4 linked regions of the Xenopus tropicalis genome follow. The protein of the gene in region 2 binds, or shares a complex with, the protein of the main gene of each other region. Links are inferred from orthologs where the notes say so. Each region holds a gene or a part of one and is shown on either strand. Other genes may lie near its edges.

What was found. The genes of interacting proteins can lie anywhere in the genome.
Region 1: taf3 (region 2) and taf12 share a complex: the UniProt entries of both Homo sapiens proteins name them as parts of the TFIID basal transcription factor complex. The link is inferred for Xenopus tropicalis from reciprocal best matches to the Homo sapiens genes TAF3 and TAF12.
Region 3: taf3 (region 2) and taf7 share a complex: the UniProt entries of both Homo sapiens proteins name them as parts of the TFIID basal transcription factor complex. The link is inferred for Xenopus tropicalis from reciprocal best matches to the Homo sapiens genes TAF3 and TAF7.
Region 4: taf3 (region 2) and taf8 share a complex: the UniProt entries of both Homo sapiens proteins name them as parts of the TFIID basal transcription factor complex. The link is inferred for Xenopus tropicalis from reciprocal best matches to the Homo sapiens genes TAF3 and TAF8.

The regions. Positions count from the first base shown.
Region 1 is NC_030678.2:78,449,905-78,455,027, forward strand, and holds the start of taf12 (transcription initiation factor TFIID subunit 12), read right to left. Parts: upstream 3,403-5,123; 5' UTR 3,380-3,402; intron 1,800-3,379; exon of another isoform or gene 1,790-1,799; coding exon of another isoform or gene 1,718-1,789; intron 1-1,717. UniProt on the Homo sapiens protein: The TFIID basal transcription factor complex plays a major role in the initiation of RNA polymerase II (Pol II)-dependent transcription.
Region 2 is NC_030679.2:83,687,619-83,692,033, forward strand, and holds part of taf3 (transcription initiation factor TFIID subunit 3), read right to left. Parts: intron 1,671-4,415; coding exon 1,424-1,670; intron 1-1,423. UniProt on the Homo sapiens protein: The TFIID basal transcription factor complex plays a major role in the initiation of RNA polymerase II (Pol II)-dependent transcription.
Region 3 is NC_030684.2:37,692,155-37,697,047, forward strand, and holds the start of taf7 (transcription initiation factor TFIID subunit 7-like), read left to right. Parts: upstream 1-1,491; 5' UTR 1,492-1,526; intron 1,527-2,828; 5' UTR 2,829-2,871; coding exon 2,872-2,884; intron 2,885-4,179; coding exon 4,180-4,253; intron 4,254-4,706; coding exon 4,707-4,785; intron 4,786-4,893. Other genes in the region: MGC108429 protein, read right to left, coding at 1-127. UniProt on the Homo sapiens protein: The TFIID basal transcription factor complex plays a major role in the initiation of RNA polymerase II (Pol II)-dependent transcription.
Region 4 is NC_030678.2:70,731,322-70,736,417, forward strand, and holds the start of taf8 (transcription initiation factor TFIID subunit 8), read right to left. Parts: upstream 3,403-5,096; 5' UTR 3,360-3,402; intron 1,042-3,359; 5' UTR 930-1,041; coding exon of another isoform or gene 915-929; intron 60-914; coding exon of another isoform or gene 18-59; coding exon 1-17. UniProt on the Homo sapiens protein: The TFIID basal transcription factor complex plays a major role in the initiation of RNA polymerase II (Pol II)-dependent transcription.

The DNA.
Region 1 (5,123 bases), on a different chromosome or scaffold from region 2:
ACCCCACCAGCTAGAATGTAAATAGCCGGTGGGATAGCATACACGTCATTGCGATGTCCTACAGTTGCCCAAAGTGGTCTTCTGAGGTAACTTCGGGCATTGTGAGGAGATAAGGCCGCGACAACAACTCGATGCGCGACTAATCTCCCTGTTTACCCCTGCCCTAAATAGAGAGGTGAACCAATCTGAGCACATGTATCTGATTGAACTCAAACCAATATACCTAATGTGACCAAGCTTTTACTTTATGGTGCACTATAGTCTAATGTTCCAATAACCAATTATATCAGTCTTTGTGGAGCATTTACCATTGCATTAATTGGACATATCTGCCACCTTAAAGGGATTCTGTCATGATTTTTATGGTTTCATTTTTATTTCTAAAGTACACTGTTTACATATAATAATTGACTCTACCATTAACATTTTATTCTTGAACCAACAAATGTATTTTTTTAAATTCTAATATTGGTGTGTAGGTGCCATCTCTGTGTATTGTGCCCGAGTCTGAGCTTTCAGAAGGAGCCAGCGCTACACATTAGAACTGCTTTCAGGTAACCTATTGTTTCTCCTACTCCCATGTAACTGTAGGAGTCCCAAGCCAGCGCTATCCTGATATCTATTGGGAGCTGATATCTTGCTACCTTCCCATTGTTCTTCTGATCAGCTGCTGGTGGGAGGGGGGTGATATCACTCCAACTTGCAGAGCAGCAGTAAAGTGTGACTGAGGTTTATCAGAGCACTGGTCACATGGCTGTGGCACCCTGGGAAATGAAGAATATGGCTAGCCCCATGTGAAATTTCAAATGTAAATATAAACAAAAATGTGTTTGGGTTTCTGAAAAACAGATTTCAATACAGGATTCTTTTCAAGAAGCTCTATTAACTGATGCTTTTTAAAAAAACATGTTTTCCCATGACATTATTCCTTTAAGAATGTGGGCTTTATTTTCACTTTTCCGCTATTGCAAATAAAGTAATCGGTCTGCTAAATAAAAACATACTGACAACCCTAAGCAAAAACCTGTCATATCCAGTGTAGAAAGCAATTATTAGGTAGCTTGTTGCTCTTTTGCTACCTATAAAGCACACCTGTGTTGGATTGGGTAACCCTGGGCCCACTGGGTAACCAACTCAGGAGCCCACAGCTGCTTCGCCCACAGCTACTCCTGCTTTACTTACTTACTGTTATAGGCTCAACTTTAGAACGCACACCGCCAAGTTTATTTTTTCACAGCAAGTAAGCAGTGGCCCACTCTGCTGCTTACTTGCTGTGAAAAAATAAAAGATGGCGTTCAGGTGGCAGGGCCCAACAGGGTTGGGGGGCCCACTGTTTTTTTTTTCCAGTAGCATGGTGAGCCAGTCTGACCCTGTAACCTAGTCCTATTATTTACCTACTCTGCCTGACTATCCAATGCAAAGTATAGTCAGGAAGAAACACCATAAAGGGCATAGGGGCATATTTACCAACACTTTGTAAATTTGCCTCAATACAATAGCTCATAGCAATTTTTTAGCTGTTAGCTTCAATATTTACAGTGTTAATTGAGTCCCAGTGAATAGATTTTCATTGGGAATACATTAAATACCAGCACATACAGTACTGTACACACACACACATTAATGAACGGCGCAGAAGTTGGTTAATAAGGCTGTATGGTACAGAGATACTTTGTATCACTATACAGTGGCTCATGCTAACACACTATTTACTTACAGCCAGTTGAGTATCTAGCTCTGTAATGACATCGCACACGGCGGTGGAACCGCTGAGCACACACGTCATCATCACCGGCCTTCTGCAGACAATAACAGCATCAGTTGGGCACATTGTATAAGGTTATTAGTATATATCACAGACTGAGGTGGACTGGGTTAGTAACGATGACATTTCACCAAGTTACTAGCTATAACTCAAAAATGATCCAAGGTAAGCTTACTTTCTTCTCATCTATTTAGAGAGTGTAATATTGATGTAATTTTATAGGCAAGACAATGCTCCTAACCGGTATGTTATTATACAAAAATTTTAAAGGAGACATATTGGATAAATGGGGAAAAACACTTATTTTGTAGGCAATTATGAATAATATACGGTGCTGGTTTCCCTTTGGGCTAAACATTAACCCTATCTGTAACAATGGCCCCTTTATTGGAGCTCCCTATAGATCCTATCACTTCTCTGTCCAGTGTGAAATGGAGAGTGGGCGTGTCCTAACAGTCCCTGCCAGAAGCACAGTAGGAGGGGGAGAGCCAATCACAGCCCTGCCCTCACACAAGCACAGACAGGCTTCAGTTCCCTATCAGGTCAGCCTAGCTGCTGATTGGTTCCTGTCCTACAGTGCAGGGTACTGAGGGCGGCTCCCCAGCTCATCCAGAGAATTCAGCCAGCAGGAAGTGGAACAGATGGGCGGGACTAGTGGGGTTTTGGTGGAATTTCTCAATAAATCAGTCTGAAACACAACATTTTTAAGCACAATCCTTCTATATCTAGAGGAGTATAATTCACTGGAACATTCATCATTTTTATAGGATATGTCTCCTTTAAGGAAAAACCAAACAACTGGCATATTGTTTTTGTTACCGATTTCTGCCTTTTGCTATATGTAGTGTAACCTATCCCCATTACACATTAAAGCAATGCAGGAAAAAAAATATTCAGAACAGAAGAGACTCCTGAAACAATGTAGCCAGCAAGTCCCATTTCAGTTCAACTAACTTCTAATACATTGTTTCAGGATTCCGCACCAGTGAACAGAAGATGCCCATACCTGGTGCACTCTTACCTTCCAGTTTGTGCCTGTATGTTACCCAACCACTTAGATTGTAAGCTCTATGGGGTAGGGATCTCCTTCCTACTGTGTCTCATACCACATGGCACTTATATATATATATATACATATATGTATTTATTGTATTTATTTATTATATCACTTGTCCTCCCTGTGTGTAATTGTGTATTCTGTAAGACTGTACAGCGCTGCATACCCTTGTGGCGCTTAATAAATAAAGTTATACATACATACATACATATAACCAGCGAGCCAGTCTGAAAGCGATTTATACACCACTGAAATTGTTTAACGTATATCTGAAAGTTGCAACGAACTGGATTCTAACAAGTTGAAATTGTAACCCTCCTGTGTGTATGTATATATGTTCCAATATACCTAAATACATAATACCGTGTGTGAGTCTCACACATGAGTGAGATGATTGGCACGGTACGTTACGTACAACCTGCTGCGCACTAGCACTTGCTGCACTGCTTTGCCGGGAGAGTAGGGACACCAAAGTGAGATACCCGGGAATCCCATACGTCCCGATTCTCGCAAGGAAAACCTGATAAAGCGACAATATAATCACGGAGTCCACATACCAATCTCTGCGCTTTAAGTTCTGCTGTCTCTCTCCCTGTTGGCGGACGTTACATCACACATTCTTTCCGCTCATGCGCAAATTCTTCTTCCCCCCCACACTTTATTTAACGGGAACAATCCAAAACTCAGAATATGCGCAGAAAACCGAAAAACATGGCTCCCAATACGCCGACCTAAACAAAAATTGCACCTTTTCTCGCGATTTTAAATGTAGCTGTGGACGGGAATTGGCAGTCCCATCATCCCTTCTATTTAGCATAATTTGCATATGGCCCTCGCTTGGCAATAAAATTAAAATGTAAAATACTGTTTGTTGTATTTATGAAAGTGAATTATCTTATATTTAGTGTATCCCGATCTAGCACTCATATACAATTATAGATATTTCCCTAACCGAAACTTTGTCGCCATATGTTGTGTAAGGGTTATGCTGCCCCTGGAGGTTGCAGAAACCAGATGATAGTTAAAAAGGGCTTGTGCCGTGTATGGCACATTGCGGGTCTCCCTTGTGGAGGACTGCAGTGCGGAATCGATATCAAGAGATTTCGAAAGCATAATTTTTGTAAACTGGGCTGCTAGAGATCGATGGTCTGGGCGCCCAATAATTAAGTTCAAAAACAGAGAAAATGAGGATGTATCAGCAGGAATAAGCATATTGAAGCGTATTAATTAATACACTGTGTTCCGCAGGGTTATTTTCCCGGCAACGCCTAGTGATCACGCAGAGGACTGATACTTTTTTTTATTTAAGAGTATCAATGTATGTAATACTGCCACATGCCTACAATAAACAAATAACAAAGCCGGGTTAAGTACTCAAAATCTCTCACTCGCTCCTTTTTTAGCTGTTTCGAAGATGAGAGGCTGAGAGAGAGATGAGAGTATAATTCACATGATTAGCCAGTTGCTGCGAGAGAACACACAGAATGGCCAAAACTCCACCCCCTTCCTTTTCATGCAAAGCACCAGGAGTCCTGGTAAAAAAGTCACAGGCAATCTTATTCAACATTACCTTAAATAATGTCTAACAAAAGTAGAAGTAATTGAAGGTGAAAACATTTCACACATTAGAAAGATACTTTAATCAATATAGATGACTTAGTGCGTAGCGCACAGCTCCAGGGACGGCGGTACTGTTATTCACACAGAAAAGTGCCGCACCTCCCCCTCTCCTTCTCCTTCTCCGTCCACTTGACGCAAGCACGTACGCACACACAAAAAATACAACCTTGTCTGGACGCCAAAACACAGAATTTGATGGGAGTTTTGGGTTTAAATAACACCTTTTGGTTTAATTATTGCCCAGGCTAGCTGCTAACTCCTTAAGTATATGCCTATATCACAGGTCTTTTGCCCTGTGTTCATCTGTAAACTTTTCTTGCGTTTAGGGTTGCCACCTTTTATGAGAAAAAATACTGGGCTTCCGATATTTTTATCTTTTTTTTCATATTAATAACATTGGGATCAAGCATAATTTTTACCGGCCAGGCAGGTAAAATAGCAGCCAGGTGGCAACCCTACTTTCTTCTTCGTCCCTTCCATGTCAGTACGCAGGGGCAGTATTGCCCCCATAGCTAGGAGGTAGGACCTATATACCAAAGCCAATCAAAATTAGCCCTTACCTATAAGACCATGTGACTTCCTCCTCACCACTGTTATTTTTTGTCCTACTGAACAGGAGGTAGGATCTCCCTCCTCACCATTTTGTGATTTCACAGTTTGATTTTTCTTTTGTTTTTGTCA
Region 2 (4,415 bases):
GAGTATATTTATGTTGAAGTCCTTCCACCTAAAGCAGGGATATATCAGACCCATCAGCATGAAGCAGCAAAATTGGTTGTCTAAGGGCTGTGGCACACGGGGAGATTAGTCGCAGGGCGACTAATCTCCCGAAAAGCCGTCCCACCGGCTAAAATGTAAAGTGCCTGTGGGATAGCATACGCGGCACAGCGATTTGCCGAAATCACCAAAGTGATTTGCTGTGCTGCGTATGCCACCCCACCAGCGATTTACATTTTAGCCAGTGGGATGGCATGTCAGGGAGATTAGTCGCCCGGTGACTAATCTCCCCGTATGCCACAGCCCTTAACTGAACTAAGAATTTTGAGGCTTGGAAGCGATCCTTTAATTTAACTTATGTTTAGATCTCACAGCTCTTTAGCAAAGTAAATATATTAATTCAGGATTGTTCTGTACATGTACAAATCGTTGCATTCCTACTTTATAGTTCGGCATTACAAGCAGAGAACAAGATAAGTATGCTTTGTGCTGGCACTATAGGAAACTGTTCCTTATTAGCATTTTTACTTATTAGCCAAATGGTTCTATTCAATTTGCTGATAAGATCAGGGATATAAAAAGTTGTTACTCAGTAACTTTCCGTTTACTTTATGACATCTAACAATTTGAATTAAAGGATAAGTGAAATTTAACAGGAAAAGCAGCAATTTTGAAACTCAAAAGTTCATGAACTACTAACATCGTTGCTTAAAAAAAAAAACACACAGAAATATTACAAGGAAATTCTCTGAGTAAAGCAGCAGGGGGTCCAAACCATTTAACATTTTTCTGATAAATGTTATACTGTACATTAAACAGCCATGGGTCATATATAACCACCGGCAAATGAAGGGGGTCTTTAGAATAAAGTCAATGAAGTCATCATATTCTTTTCCTGTGTTTTCAAAGGACTTTATAAAGGCTATACCACATGGGGTGGTTAATACAACTCCACTACCTACTCCCTGATCACTTGCTATTCACTTGAATGGTAAGCTCTGTGAACTTGGTTTTATTAAATTAAGGATGTCATTCAAGGAAATCCGAGTAGGTTGGGAATATAAAAATGTATTAAAAGGCAATATCAATATATGCCTATAGCTGAACAGTCTCAATAAGTTAGGTGGGATTTTGATCGAACCCAAGGTTATTGATCCAGGAAGTAATGCGATTACTCATATACATAGGGGTTCATGTAAGGATAAAATATCAAAAGCATTAATATCAAAATTGTTTAAACTGTCTGTAGTTGTTCAAGAGACTGAGAAAAACCCCTTCACCTAACCATGTAATTTATGAAACTATGGCTGTGAATACCAAACTGATCCAATTAAAGGGTTACAGCTTATTATGTGTACCTTATACTACAGGCATGTAAAAGAAAAACAAAAAGGTGAGTACTCACCACATAGGTACTGACTGTTTCTGTCACAACACTTCGGACAGGGGTTTTAGAGGAACCAGCATTTGAAGTGAGTGCAGAAGGGGCTGGAGTTGGAGCTGGTGATGCAGCTGCTGGAGCTGGTGGAGCTTGAGGGGGGACAACAAGAATAGGTGCTGGAGCTGGAGAAGGTGTTGGAGGTGGAGATTTGGGCAACGATGGTGGAGGGGCTGCTTTAGACTCTGGAGCAGATACGACTTTGCTGATAACACTTTAAAGAGAAAAAAAAAAACATTAAATGTATACGTTTGCGTCAATGTACATCCAGTTTTCATAGATTCCTACAACAATTACGTTTATATGTATAATGCCAGATGATTAGATATCCTGTCTTTACCAGACTGGTTACAATTCCCATTACCGGCAAGTTTTTAAGAAACAGTAAGTTAATTAATATGTACAGGTATGAGGCCTGTTATGCAAAAAATTATTCAAATATTAAATAAATAAACCCAATAGGATTGTTTTGCTTCTAATAAGGATTAATTATATCTTTATTATTACAGAGAAAAAGGAAATATGTTGAATTTTGAATTATTTTATGAAAATGGAGAGAAATAAGTTACACCTTTAGTAACAAGGAAGAGTCAAATTCATTTGTTGGTATAGGACAGCACTGAAAGCCTCCAAGAGCAGAATAAGTCCTGCTATACACACTGCTTAAAAATGGACTAAACGGTGTGAAAAACATGTTTGTTCTAGCAGCTAAAGGGCACATATCTACTTTTAGCTTTAGTGCTGCTTTTAGTTCAAAGAAAGTCCTGCTCCACCAAAGGCATGGCTGCTGAATGGTCCTTGGAAAAGAGACAAATGAAGAGTGAAAAGTTATTATGCTTTTGTTTTTATCATTTAAATAGATTTTAATATATATGAGAATTTTGCAGGCAGGTGGTGGTCAAATTTTGTTTTTGGCTTCACACTGCTCGTACAGCTTACTTTGATTTCCCCTCATTTGGATGGCCGTTGCTTATTTATATACTTGTGCCAGCCCAACCCCTCCAGTTATATTGGAGATTGAAGTATTGAGCACATGTATATAAATAATGAAGTGACAGGTCGGGTTGGTTTTGGGGGGTCCACAAGGGAGGGGGGGGGTATTGATATCCCCAAGTGAACTAGGGTTTCCTTGTTCTTTAATGCTATGATTCTTTCACACAAGGGTTCATTTATGAACACTGGGGTTTTTGCACCTCAGCAACCAATCAATTGTTAGTTTTTTCACCCAGGCACCCAATTTGTCTAGGGCAAGATACTCAGTCTCCTGCATTATACATATTTAATCAGTTTTTCTCCCTGAAGATTACCATATTCCAAAAATCAACGTGGGTGGCTTCCCACTATCCATGGAATAGCTATGGAATCACTTAGCCAAAAAACTGATATCAAAGTAAACTCCAAAATATGGGAAGACCTTCTCCCACTGTGTCCATCTGGCAAATATTTTACATTTTTAAAAAATGATTGACATTTTCTCTGTAATAATAAAACACTACCTTGTACATGATACGAACTAAGCTACATAAACCCATATTGGCTGCAAAACAACCCTCTGGGTTTATCTATTTTTATTTATCAGACTTATGATCATCCAAATTACATAAAACAATTCTTAGCTGGAAAACCCCAGATCCCAGATATTTTAGAGAATAGATCCCATACCTGTGCAAAGAACTACAAGATGCCCATGAACTGTGATTAAAACCATAAAGCCCTGCAAGCTAAATAAACAGATCACAAAGGGCCTTGGTGGAGGACTGCATCAATGAGCCAACGCAGTTCTTGATCGGATAGGAAAATGAAACCCACCAGATCGATATCAGGCCTAAAGGACCTGAATGGTCTGCTTAAATCCACCCATGTATGGCCACCTTTAGGGTTTTGCACTATGTAAAGCTTGGTCAGAGACGACATGCATTCTGAATAGAACGCCACAAGTCTCTATAAAAGAATCCTGCCTTAACAAGCCATCCAAGTTTAACTTAACTGAAGCTATGGGTCCAGTTTCAGTTATTCTTAAGATCTGTCAAAAATGGGCAGTGCCAAGTAATCATTTAAGCCTTGGAAATGAAAATTTCCTTATTTATGTTACGCACTAAAGAATATTAAGACTCATACTCCATTGCAAAATAAATACTGCATAACTAAGGCCAGATGTCAAAGAGGAAAGTATACAACCTCTTATCAGACACTGGTTATTTATATGCAGTAATTAGATTTAAATTCCTGTGGTGTTTGGCTTTTGTACTGCGCCTCATTAATAACTCCTGCTGCTTCTTTTAACAGTCTAAAAATCACCTACTTCTTACTGTTGTGGCCTGTTTCTTATTGTACCATTTTATCGAACAATTTAAAGCTGAAACTGGATATTTAATACAATTCCTTATTCCTCCCAGAGCTGCCTTTACCGAATCTGGGCTTTGACCAGTACGCCACTAAGTGGTAACCCACATGCACACAGCTACAGGAACTACCGCTACAAGCCAAAATACAAAATATTTTACTGTGCCCCTGAAACTGCTTCCCAAGTTAAGAGGAAAACCAAACCTATCTAGCATCTTGGGGAGACTAAACTGGAAAAAAATAACTTTGACAAATACAAAGGGTCATGTGTAACTGTTTAACAGTAGATAAAATAAGAATCACCACTTTTTTATTGTTTTTCTTTACTTTGTTTGTTGTAAGTTTAATTGTATTGTAGCTATTATTTTTTTTCCTCTGCTTATAAACCCCAATAAAAAATGTAAAACTCATAAATTTCTGTAATTCTCAATTCCTTTTCTGATGAAGATGTATAATTTATGATGTCCCTAAATACGGATGTAAAAACTGGGTAAAAGGCCATTGCTGTGCATTTCTGCACTCTATATTCTCTATATTCAGTCTTTAACCCAACCATGCAGCTGTTTAAGGTTTATTTTTTTTTTTTTTTTTTAGCAATAAACCACCTACTTCCACA
Region 3 (4,893 bases), on a different chromosome or scaffold from region 2:
GTCCTCGACTGCAGAGTTTGAGGAGACCCTTCTTTTTCAGAATAAAGCTGCTCCCAATGAAAATGCTGGAGGAAAGAGCTAGAGCCAGTCCAATGTAGAAGTCATAGCGGTTTCCAGTAGTCTCCATATGAACCTGTCAAACATAAATCGTTACTTTTTCCTAGCGAGTACCACTGGGTTTCCAGCAGCAAATTCTCCTTCCAATTATGGGCACTGCCCAAATAAATCAAGTATAATGTTTCGATCAAGCTTCAGCAAGTCAGTGTGAATACACACTATTGTCAATGTGTCTACCCTGCATTGGAAAAGAATTTTATAGCACGGCTTATTTTAGATTTTAGGTAAATATGAATATCTGCTTTTATTTTATCCCAAGAGCTGACATTCATGTATGCCTGTAAGTATATCCATACAGTGCCACAAATAAGTAAAGCATTTTGCAGAAGGAACAGTTCCATTTTATATATAACATTTAAATTCAAACTTTATATATAAATACAGTAAGTTTCTGTAAGTCCCCTCTGGAGAAGCTTACGGTGCCACCCTTCCTACCATGACAGCATGCCATTGTAACTTTAATAAGTAAGGAGACGTATCACTTCCTGGTATAAATGAGCGATAACTGACTAGTGTACTTGCTCTCACTCCCAATAGTTAGTATTTCTAACACTACAGGATTCTAATGCTCCTGCCCATAAGACTTACAGTGCTGATGAACCATAATAAAGCAGAAGCTACCAATGGCAATTTTATTAATACTCAGATTGTAAGCTCTATGGGGCAGGGACCTCCTTCCTACTGTGTCTCATACCACATGGCACTTATAATAAATAAATACATATATGTATATATATATATATATATATATCACTCGTCCTCCCTGTGTGTAATTTTGTATTCTGTAAGACTGTACAGCGCTGAGTACCCTTGTGGCGCTTTATAAATATAGTTGTACATACATACATTAACACGTATGAGACCCTAATGTCTGCCACTTAGCTCCCAGCATGCACAGCGGCACTTACTCCTCTCACTTACAGGGTGCAGGGAGAAACCCACCGCTTAGCAGAGCCGCCCGTTCCACAGTACACACTCTCCGGGGACTGACCCTACCACCCCTATCGGTAACACATACATAGCATCACTTGCTACTCTCATTTCTATTTCGAGCTTCCGTATTCTCTGCAATCATTTGTGAGAGACTTTGGCTGGGTACCCAATTGGTTAGCGAACTCCAAGTACGGTGTCCATTTCAGGACATACATTGTCCAAATTCAAGTGCAAAATTAATACTAGAAGGGGGAGGCGCAATTCAGAGATTTTGGAGGTGGGAGAAAGCAGGACGCACTTGGATTTTTAGATAATTGACCTATAATGGACACCGTAGTCCTGGGCAGTGTGAACCAATCAGAAGGCAAAGGAGTCCGGCTCTATTCCACATACTTCCGGTATCTGGTGCTCTGTGGGCTAGGAATTTCCCATAGGTGTAACTTCACAATGAATTAGAGAGCAGCGGGTCTCCTCCGGTAAGTAGAATACCTGTAGTTCGTCGAGGTGATGGGCCGAGTCTTCGCCGGGGGTTACTGGGAGTTGTTCTTAACCCACAGATGGGAATTCGAAGAACAAATTAGTTTATTATACTCAGTGCCGGTGTGGGCTATAGAGACTGTAGTGCTCCTTATAACGCTGCATAGCTACAAGAAGCAAGCTTTAGCTTTATAGGTGGCAGTCATTTCCAGGGACTGCAACACTAGTCCCCACCGCACTCAGACTGTAAGCTCTGCAGGGCAGAGACCGCCTTCCTTCTGTCTCTCTTACCAGTGACACAGTTATGTATTTTTATACTTATTTATTGCAGTGTTTGTTCTCCCTGTTTACACTTTTCTGTATTGTATAATTGTGCAGCTCTGCATATTCTAGTATGTATGTATGTATATCTTTATTTATAAAGCGCTACTTATGTACGCAGCGCTGTACAGGAGAATACATTAATACAAACGGGCTTATTAAGATAAATACAAAGTCTAACAATAAATATAAATTAATACAAGATACAGTTGCAATAAATTAAAGGAGAAGGAAAGGCTAAGTCACTTGGGGGTGCCAAAATGTTAGGCACCCCCAAGTGACTTAAATAGCTTACCTTGTGCCCCTGTTAGGAGAACACTGCACCAGCCCGGGGTACCTGTAGCGAGCGCTTCCTTCTTCCGTGTTTTTTCTGCGGTGAAATCCCTTGGCCGGCGCATGCGCATTAGAGTGAAAAGCCAACTTTGTTGTTACAGTTCAGCTTTTCACTCTACTGCGCATGCGCAAGCGCGCCAACGCGGGAGAAGGATGCACTCGCTGCTACCCCGTGCTGGTGCTGTTCTCCCTAACGGGCACCAGCCTGGGGTACAAGGTAAGCGATTTAAGTCACTTGGGGGTGCCTAACATTTTGGCACCCCAAGTGACTTAGGATTTCCTTCTCCTTTAAGAGTCAAAGACACAAGAGGATGGAGGTCCCTGCCCCGTAGAGCTTACAGTCGTACAGTAGTAGTACTTTAAAGCTGGTCTGTATGCCACTCCTTTAATGGCTTTGGTTGTAATAGAGAAATTGCGTGTAAGAATTCCTCTTTTAACAACTAAAATTTGTGGAGCAGATTGTCAAAACTGATTCCCACTCACAAGCTCACTAAAATATCTGTGTGCAGCCAGTCTTTTAAAAAGAAAAAAAAAAGGCTTAAACGTTCTGGGGACCTACTGTAGTCATAACAATGGTCTGTCGTTAGAATTTATGGACGATTGGCCAAGTGCAAGATTTAATCTCATGGTTTTTTTTCCACCCACAGATTTCTTTGCCCCCTACTACTGACTTCTCCTGACAGATTGGCCATGACTTCCACAAGTAATATAAATGTTGTTTAAGCGACTGCTAACTTTTTTCTTTACACTATAGTAAAAATACAAATGAATACCTTCTGTATACATTAAATCCTGTATTATATTAAACAACCTTGAAGTGCTTAAAGGGCACCTATTGCAAAAATTACATTTTAATACAGGCTGCATCATATTGAAATAAGAAGATCTCTAGATGTAATCAATTAAAAACTTCTGTACTGTGTCTGAAATAATCAATTTACTCTCCCAGCATCTGTCTCTCTTCATTCTCTCTTTATTCTCTCTCTCTTTATTCTCTCTCTTTATACACTTATTAGGATTCTGATTTTGATTGACAGTTAAGTCTTGTACAGCATTTGGGGGGGGGGGGGGGGGGTAGGTGATCCTTTTGCCTAAAATATGTATTAGAGCTCACTCAAAAATCCTGCCTCTCTACGTCCAGAGAATAAAGACAGGTAGATGCTGAGTGGGAGACAATGAAGAGTAACTTAGTTATTTCAAAAATGGTACAGAATTTTTATTATATTTAGAAAGTTTCTTCCCCATTGTAGGAGAACAACAGATTCTTGTATCTCCAGAAAAGGAAGAAATTTTGGATACACACGTTACAGACTCTTCACTCTAGGGGATTAAAATAAGAGTATAATCTATATGCATTTATTTAATAATATGTGAAAGTAGACTACACTACTGATTTTTGGCTGATTTTTGTATTACACTAGGAATACCAATGATTCTTATTTAATGTATACCTACTGTATGGGATTGCAGCACATTGCATAACATGTACCTTTAAGAGGGGAGCTTTAGGTAGACACTAACAAATGTGTTGTCATTTACTTTTTTGTTTGATAAAGGGGCAGGTTCCATGAAACTTTATTTTTTTTTATTTTTACAATAAAAGCTTTGATTTTCACCAATATTTAGACTTTTTTGTTTATTATAACTTAAGTCTGGTGATTGGCACATTTCTACACTCGGGTTAAGCTAATGTATTCACTGGGGTTGCCTAACACACCATCTCTTAAAAATTTCTATTTCTTAGTCTTTTAATTTATTACTAGTAATATATCCTTTAACATATAGAGACAATGTAATGTGCAGAAATACATGCACTTGTATACTTTCATACCATATTAACAGGAAAATAAACATAATTTTCTTGTATATATGTGCGCTATCTAGAAAAGTGAAAGAGCTGGTAAATATTAATTTCTTTACTTTTCAACACTTCCTCTATATGAGTCCTACTGCCTACAAGGCCAACTGACTTCTGAGTTTTACATATTCCTTCCATAGAACAAAAGACATCAAGGAGCAAAGATGATGCCCCACACGAACTAGAGAGCCAGTTTATCCTGCGACTCCCACAGGTGAGTATGACACCTATCCGAGCAAGGAATCCTATGTAGAGCTGCTTCCATTGCTCCTCCTAAATGATTGCATGGTACTTTTAATGATGATTGTGATTAAAATTACTTTTCTTAAACTCTTAATTTGACAATAGGCTTCATTAGTGCCACATTAAATGCATTGGAAAGTTTAGGGATGGCACACAGTAAATCTGTGCTCTCTTGAGTGGTGTATGTGTGCACTTGACAAAGGTCTGTAGGATGAAAAAATCTCTCGTGTTGAGTCAGCAATAAACCTGGGAACCCCCTTATCAGAAGCCACCAAGTCATCAGACAGACTGTCGCCACTTTCCCAAGTGGTGGAACACAAAAAGAATTAGGGGAATTTTTAAATACTAACTAACAGCTGTCACTGGATCAGGTTCTTTCCTCATCTTCTATTTTTTTTTTTTTTTTTTTTTTTTATTCATTTAGGAATATGCCTCAACAGTTAGGAGGATGGTCCAGTCTGGGAGTGTAAATACAAAAGACAGACTTTCTGTTGAGTTGCATCGTAAGTATTTTAGCAGCCTAGTTTCTGAGGCTGTGAAAGATTCAAGATTTTTCCCATATAAATTGAGGGTGGGGGGGGATTGTTTTAACTAAATAGGGCAAAATTTAA
Region 4 (5,096 bases), on a different chromosome or scaffold from region 2:
CTTCGTCTCGCCAACATGTAATTATCGGCAGGGGTGGAAGTCCCACGTGCACAAGACCTCTGGGGACATAAATAAAGAGGACTGATTAGAGTGAGAAACTTGAGGGCTTATTATTCCATAATGAGCCCTTATAAATGCATAAAAAAAACCACAAAAAGCCTTTTTCTAAATTATTCCATGCTAATTTTATTCAAACTGCAAAATTTACTGAAGCAATGGTTTGAACCAATCTAAAAGCCCAAGTAATAAGAAACACAAAAGAAATTCTTGAAGTTTCCCAATATGTCTTTATCTAAGTTTTAGCATCTTGAATCTGTGCACAAACAGAGATTCTTTGCCTTGTGTGTTTGTAGCTACTTAGTTGGCAGTAAAAGAAGATACAGGCATCTTTCTACCTAAAGTCCTAGGGTTCCCTTTCTCTTAACAGGAGACTAGAATATTACTGCATCATAGGCTGTTATCAGGGCTTGACCCGCTTATACAACCCTACTGTAGATGTACCGGTATATAAAAATGCATATAATTTTTGCACAATTATTCCCTTCTTCTAAATCCCAGGATACTTCAATGCCGTAGCCTGTAGACAGTACACATTACCGTTATATTATAACAAAGAAAAATCAGATATAAAAAAATAAAATTATTGGCTTAAAATGGGAGATGGCCTTTCCATAACTGGGGGGCTTTCTGCTGGCATAACAACATACAATGAAATTTAACTGGTAGCTAAATATTTTGAGATTTTATTATGCAAAAATTATTTGCAGCACAGATAGGAGATAAAATCATTATACAGTGTTCCTTGGTTACCCATGGTAAAAGAGATTAAAAAATCCTAAATTACAAACATTAAGTAGCGCCTGCACGTGCAGTATTTAAAATAACAAACTTTATTAAACACAAATTGCACTTACAATTGTAGGAAACATAAAAAGCGTTTCTGTATTATATACAACTTCTAGCACCTCAGTACAGGAGACAGTCTTTTTGACTGCAGCTTGATTTCTAAAAGAGCTGGAACAAAAACTTTTCCCTTTGTACCTAAGTAAATTAGAGACAAAAATGACATGTTAATGACATGTTCTAAAACACCTCAAACACACAAAATGTTAGCAGCCAGCTGAGACCTACAAACAGGCCAGAGAAAGACCTGAAAAATACCAACTAACAGCCCAACTCCATGCAGAAAGAGGTGGACAGAAAATGTAAATTTACTGACAGATAAGCTTGTTAATGTAAAAAATACATATGCCCTTTTTTATTATTGTTGCCCCCACACAAACGTTCTTGATGTGATTGTGCTTGGAGAATGGGAGTAACATTTCAATACAATAGAAAACTTGGAAATAGAAAAGTTGGTGTAAAGTGCAACAAAAAAATATTATATATAAAACTGGGCCATTGAATATTTTAGTTTAAACACATTTCAATAAATATTAGATATGTTATACCAAACTAAGCAAAAATATTTAATAGCACAAAGTTTGGGAGTATAATACAGATTTTGCAAGGTTACATTGGCATAGTCAAAACTCCATTAATAACAGCAAAAGCATAAACCAGTACAATTGGCATACATTGAAAGGTATGGCTGAAGACAACCAGGGGCCTTAAATCAAAAATGGGATGATTAAAGGAACAGCTTTCTTTACTGATCAGTAACTCCTATAAAATACACAACACAAGAACATTTGTTACAAACGGGCATACCCTTTTGCACACAAGAACCGCAGGACCACCATCTTGATCCAAAGGGAGCACTTGCCTTCTCCATTAAAGCAGTTTATATTAACTTTTAGTATGACTTAAGCAACATTCCGAGCTAATTTGCTATTGGTCATATTTTTAAGGTTTAGAAAATTTTAACCTCACACAACAAATTTTTTTGGTTGCTTGAGTTAGTGAACTGCCTCTTTCTGCAGCAACTGAGACCTTCCAAGACATTACCATTGTCATACTTCACATGTGAATAAGCAAAGTTGAGTGACATACATTATGATACTTTATGACTACATATCATATCCCAGGGCCTCCTGAATGGGACTCACAGAGTTTGGTCTAGACTTGGCTCCCTGCCTCAGAGCTGTACAACTATACTCCTAAGACTGCATACTTCCATTGTTTTCCATAAATATGGATTTATGTAGCTTAGTTATGTATACAAGTAACGGTCTAGTACAAGTTTTTATTATAGAGAAAGATCATATGTTTTTTTAATTACAGCTATGGAACCTGTTATCCAGAATGCTCGGTCTGGTGTTTTATGGACAAGGGGTCTTTGCTTAATTTGGACCGCTATACCTTAAGCTTACTAAAAAATAATTTAGACATGAAATAAACCCAATAGGTTTGTTTTACCTCCAATAAGGATATCTTAGCTGGGATCAAGTACGTAATTTGGTGCTGACTACATAACTTTCCAGATAAGGTTTCCCATACCTATATACATACTTACATACACTGAAATCTAACTGGTATCTGAATGTTTTCAGTTTTATTATGCAAAATTTAATTGCAGTACAGATAGTAAACAAGATATTATAAAGTGTTCCTTTGTACCCAAGCCAGAAGAGATGAACCAATCCTAAATTCCAAACAAAGTAGAGCCTCTGCATGCTGCATTTAAAAAATAAATAGAAACTTTATTAAAGACAACGTGGACTGAGATCATACAACAGGGAATGAGATAGTAAAGCTATCATAGCTCCCCTATCCATTTTAGGGGAAATGGAAAAATCCTAAATTAAAGCAGATAAGTACAATATCCAATTGGCATTGTTTGCAAATTGCATATATCATACGTTCCATGTAATGTAGCAGTGAAAGGTCACATAGAAAGCTTAAGGGACATTCCCCCCAAAAAAATTCGTAGGAACATTGTGCTTGTTATTTCCATGCAGCACTGGCAGAGGAGGCAAACTAGACAGTGCAGCAGAGAAATGGACCAAATGTTCGTGACACTGAAGCAGCCCCCCATCTAGATCTGCCCACTAGTGACTAGCTACTTGACTTTTGCATGGAGATTTGTTGCATTAGAATGTGCCTTCGGCGAGCCAGAGAGGAGACAAATGGCAGAAGATAGGGGAATGGAATTACTTGTGTGGTTTTTGGTCATTTTTACTTGTTTGGTGGCACATATGTGACGTATTTAAGCCATATTCCATGCCGATCTCTGAAGCTCTAAATTAATAACATAATTCTGAAGGCTCTACTAGTTAATACATCATCAGACAGTTTATTGTATGTTTATACATTTAACATATCCACCCATTAAACTTAAAATAAATCCGCCACAGTGTCTTTATTGTAAAAAGCCCCTAAACTGGTATAAAAACATTTCAAACGTTTACTCGCATTACCATTACGAGCGTATCAAATAAAGTTCCACAGGGCAGCCATCTTCCCTTTTCTTTTCAGCGCTACCATGTAAATATCGCCATTAAAAAGAAAAAAAATAACAAAAGGAGTCATCCAATCCGAAGGCACGGCGATTGTTGCCCTGCGCTTTCCTTTCTGTCTTCATGCGTATGCGACGTCGTCGCGTACGCATTAACGTTAAACGTAATCGCCGATCACGTGACATCGCCGATCAATACAATCGCCAGGAGCTTCGCTTCCTGTCGTCTATAACATACCTAAAACCTCAGTTGCGCACACAAATTCTACAAATATTACATCGTAAGTATCTAAGGGGCGCCTAAATCATCTAAATACATGTCAAAAGTCATCTACCCTTAAGCCTCATGTGGACACTTTTGCGAACATGTATTATAAGGTTATAAGATCCCCTCAGCTTACAAATGCCTCACGAACTAACGTGTTTGGTTGTCAGACCATTTTTTAACGTTAGTCTAAGGACGTCTTTCGGCTGGCTTGTTATAATTACAGGGATCATAGGAAAGTTACAAAAGCACTTTACTTAACCCACGAAAGCAGAAGTGGAAAATTGCTGTAAATAATTTGTGCTGTAAATAAAATGTTTATCATGCAGTGAGCAGAAATTTATTTATCGTGCATGAATGGTACTAATAGCAAACAACTGGTGAGGGCCTTTTCATGTGAAGTACTTTTTAAACTTTTCTACATGGATATGAAATAGATATGGTTTTAACTACATATTGCTTGTGACAATAGTGATGTTGGTATATAACACATATTAGCAACAAGTCAGCTGAAAAACACTGTGAGACTATTAGCAGGTTACCATGACAGCCTTCTATATTGACCCAGTTTGCCACAGTATAAGTCCCTGCATTCGCTGTAGGGTATTTTTCAGTAGCAGCATACACCCTCCATTATAAATGACATGCAGAATCTAGATACAATAACTCTAGTGAGTTACATTTTAACCCAAACATCATGCTGAGCACAGCTGTATCCAGCATCATGGTTGGGTTCAACTATAACTCAATCCTCAAGTCCTTCTTGCACTAGTGTGGCATATAATAGCTCTCTGAAATACATAGACATTCTCTTATTTGATAGACTATATACAATCCCAGCATTGCTCTGTTATAAACCAAAGAAAAATTGGTTGAAATGCATTTTTGTTGTGTATGATACACATATGTATACTGATTAGTGATGAACAAATGTTTTCGCTAGACGTGGATTCCCAGCGAATTTGGCAATTGGCAAATTGTTTTGCAAAACTTCCGTGAAAATTCACTGCAGAAAAATTTGTTGCGCAGAATTTTTTTTTGTGCGTCAAATTGGGCATTGTTACAACAAAAAAGGGAGCAGGCGCATCAAAATTGCCCATGGTCGCGTAAAAAAGCGTGGGCGACAAAAAATAGACGCGGGGGCGACTGTTAGGGTTTTACCAATTATTGGGACTCTGGACTCTCTTGTTGGTACACTGTCATGTGATACGGATCCGGGAACTTGCACAGAGAGACACAGACAAGTAGTGAATCTCCTAACAAATCTAGTTTATTGATGGTTTTGCCGCAGATTATATACATGTAGATAAAGATATTCCATTATGCTTACGTAACATGGGTGGGCACATATGCCTTGCAGTTATTAGCAGAAAACAGGAACTCATTAAAGTAGCTGCTGAAGCTTATTTTGGTTTGTTAGCCTTGAGCATTTGC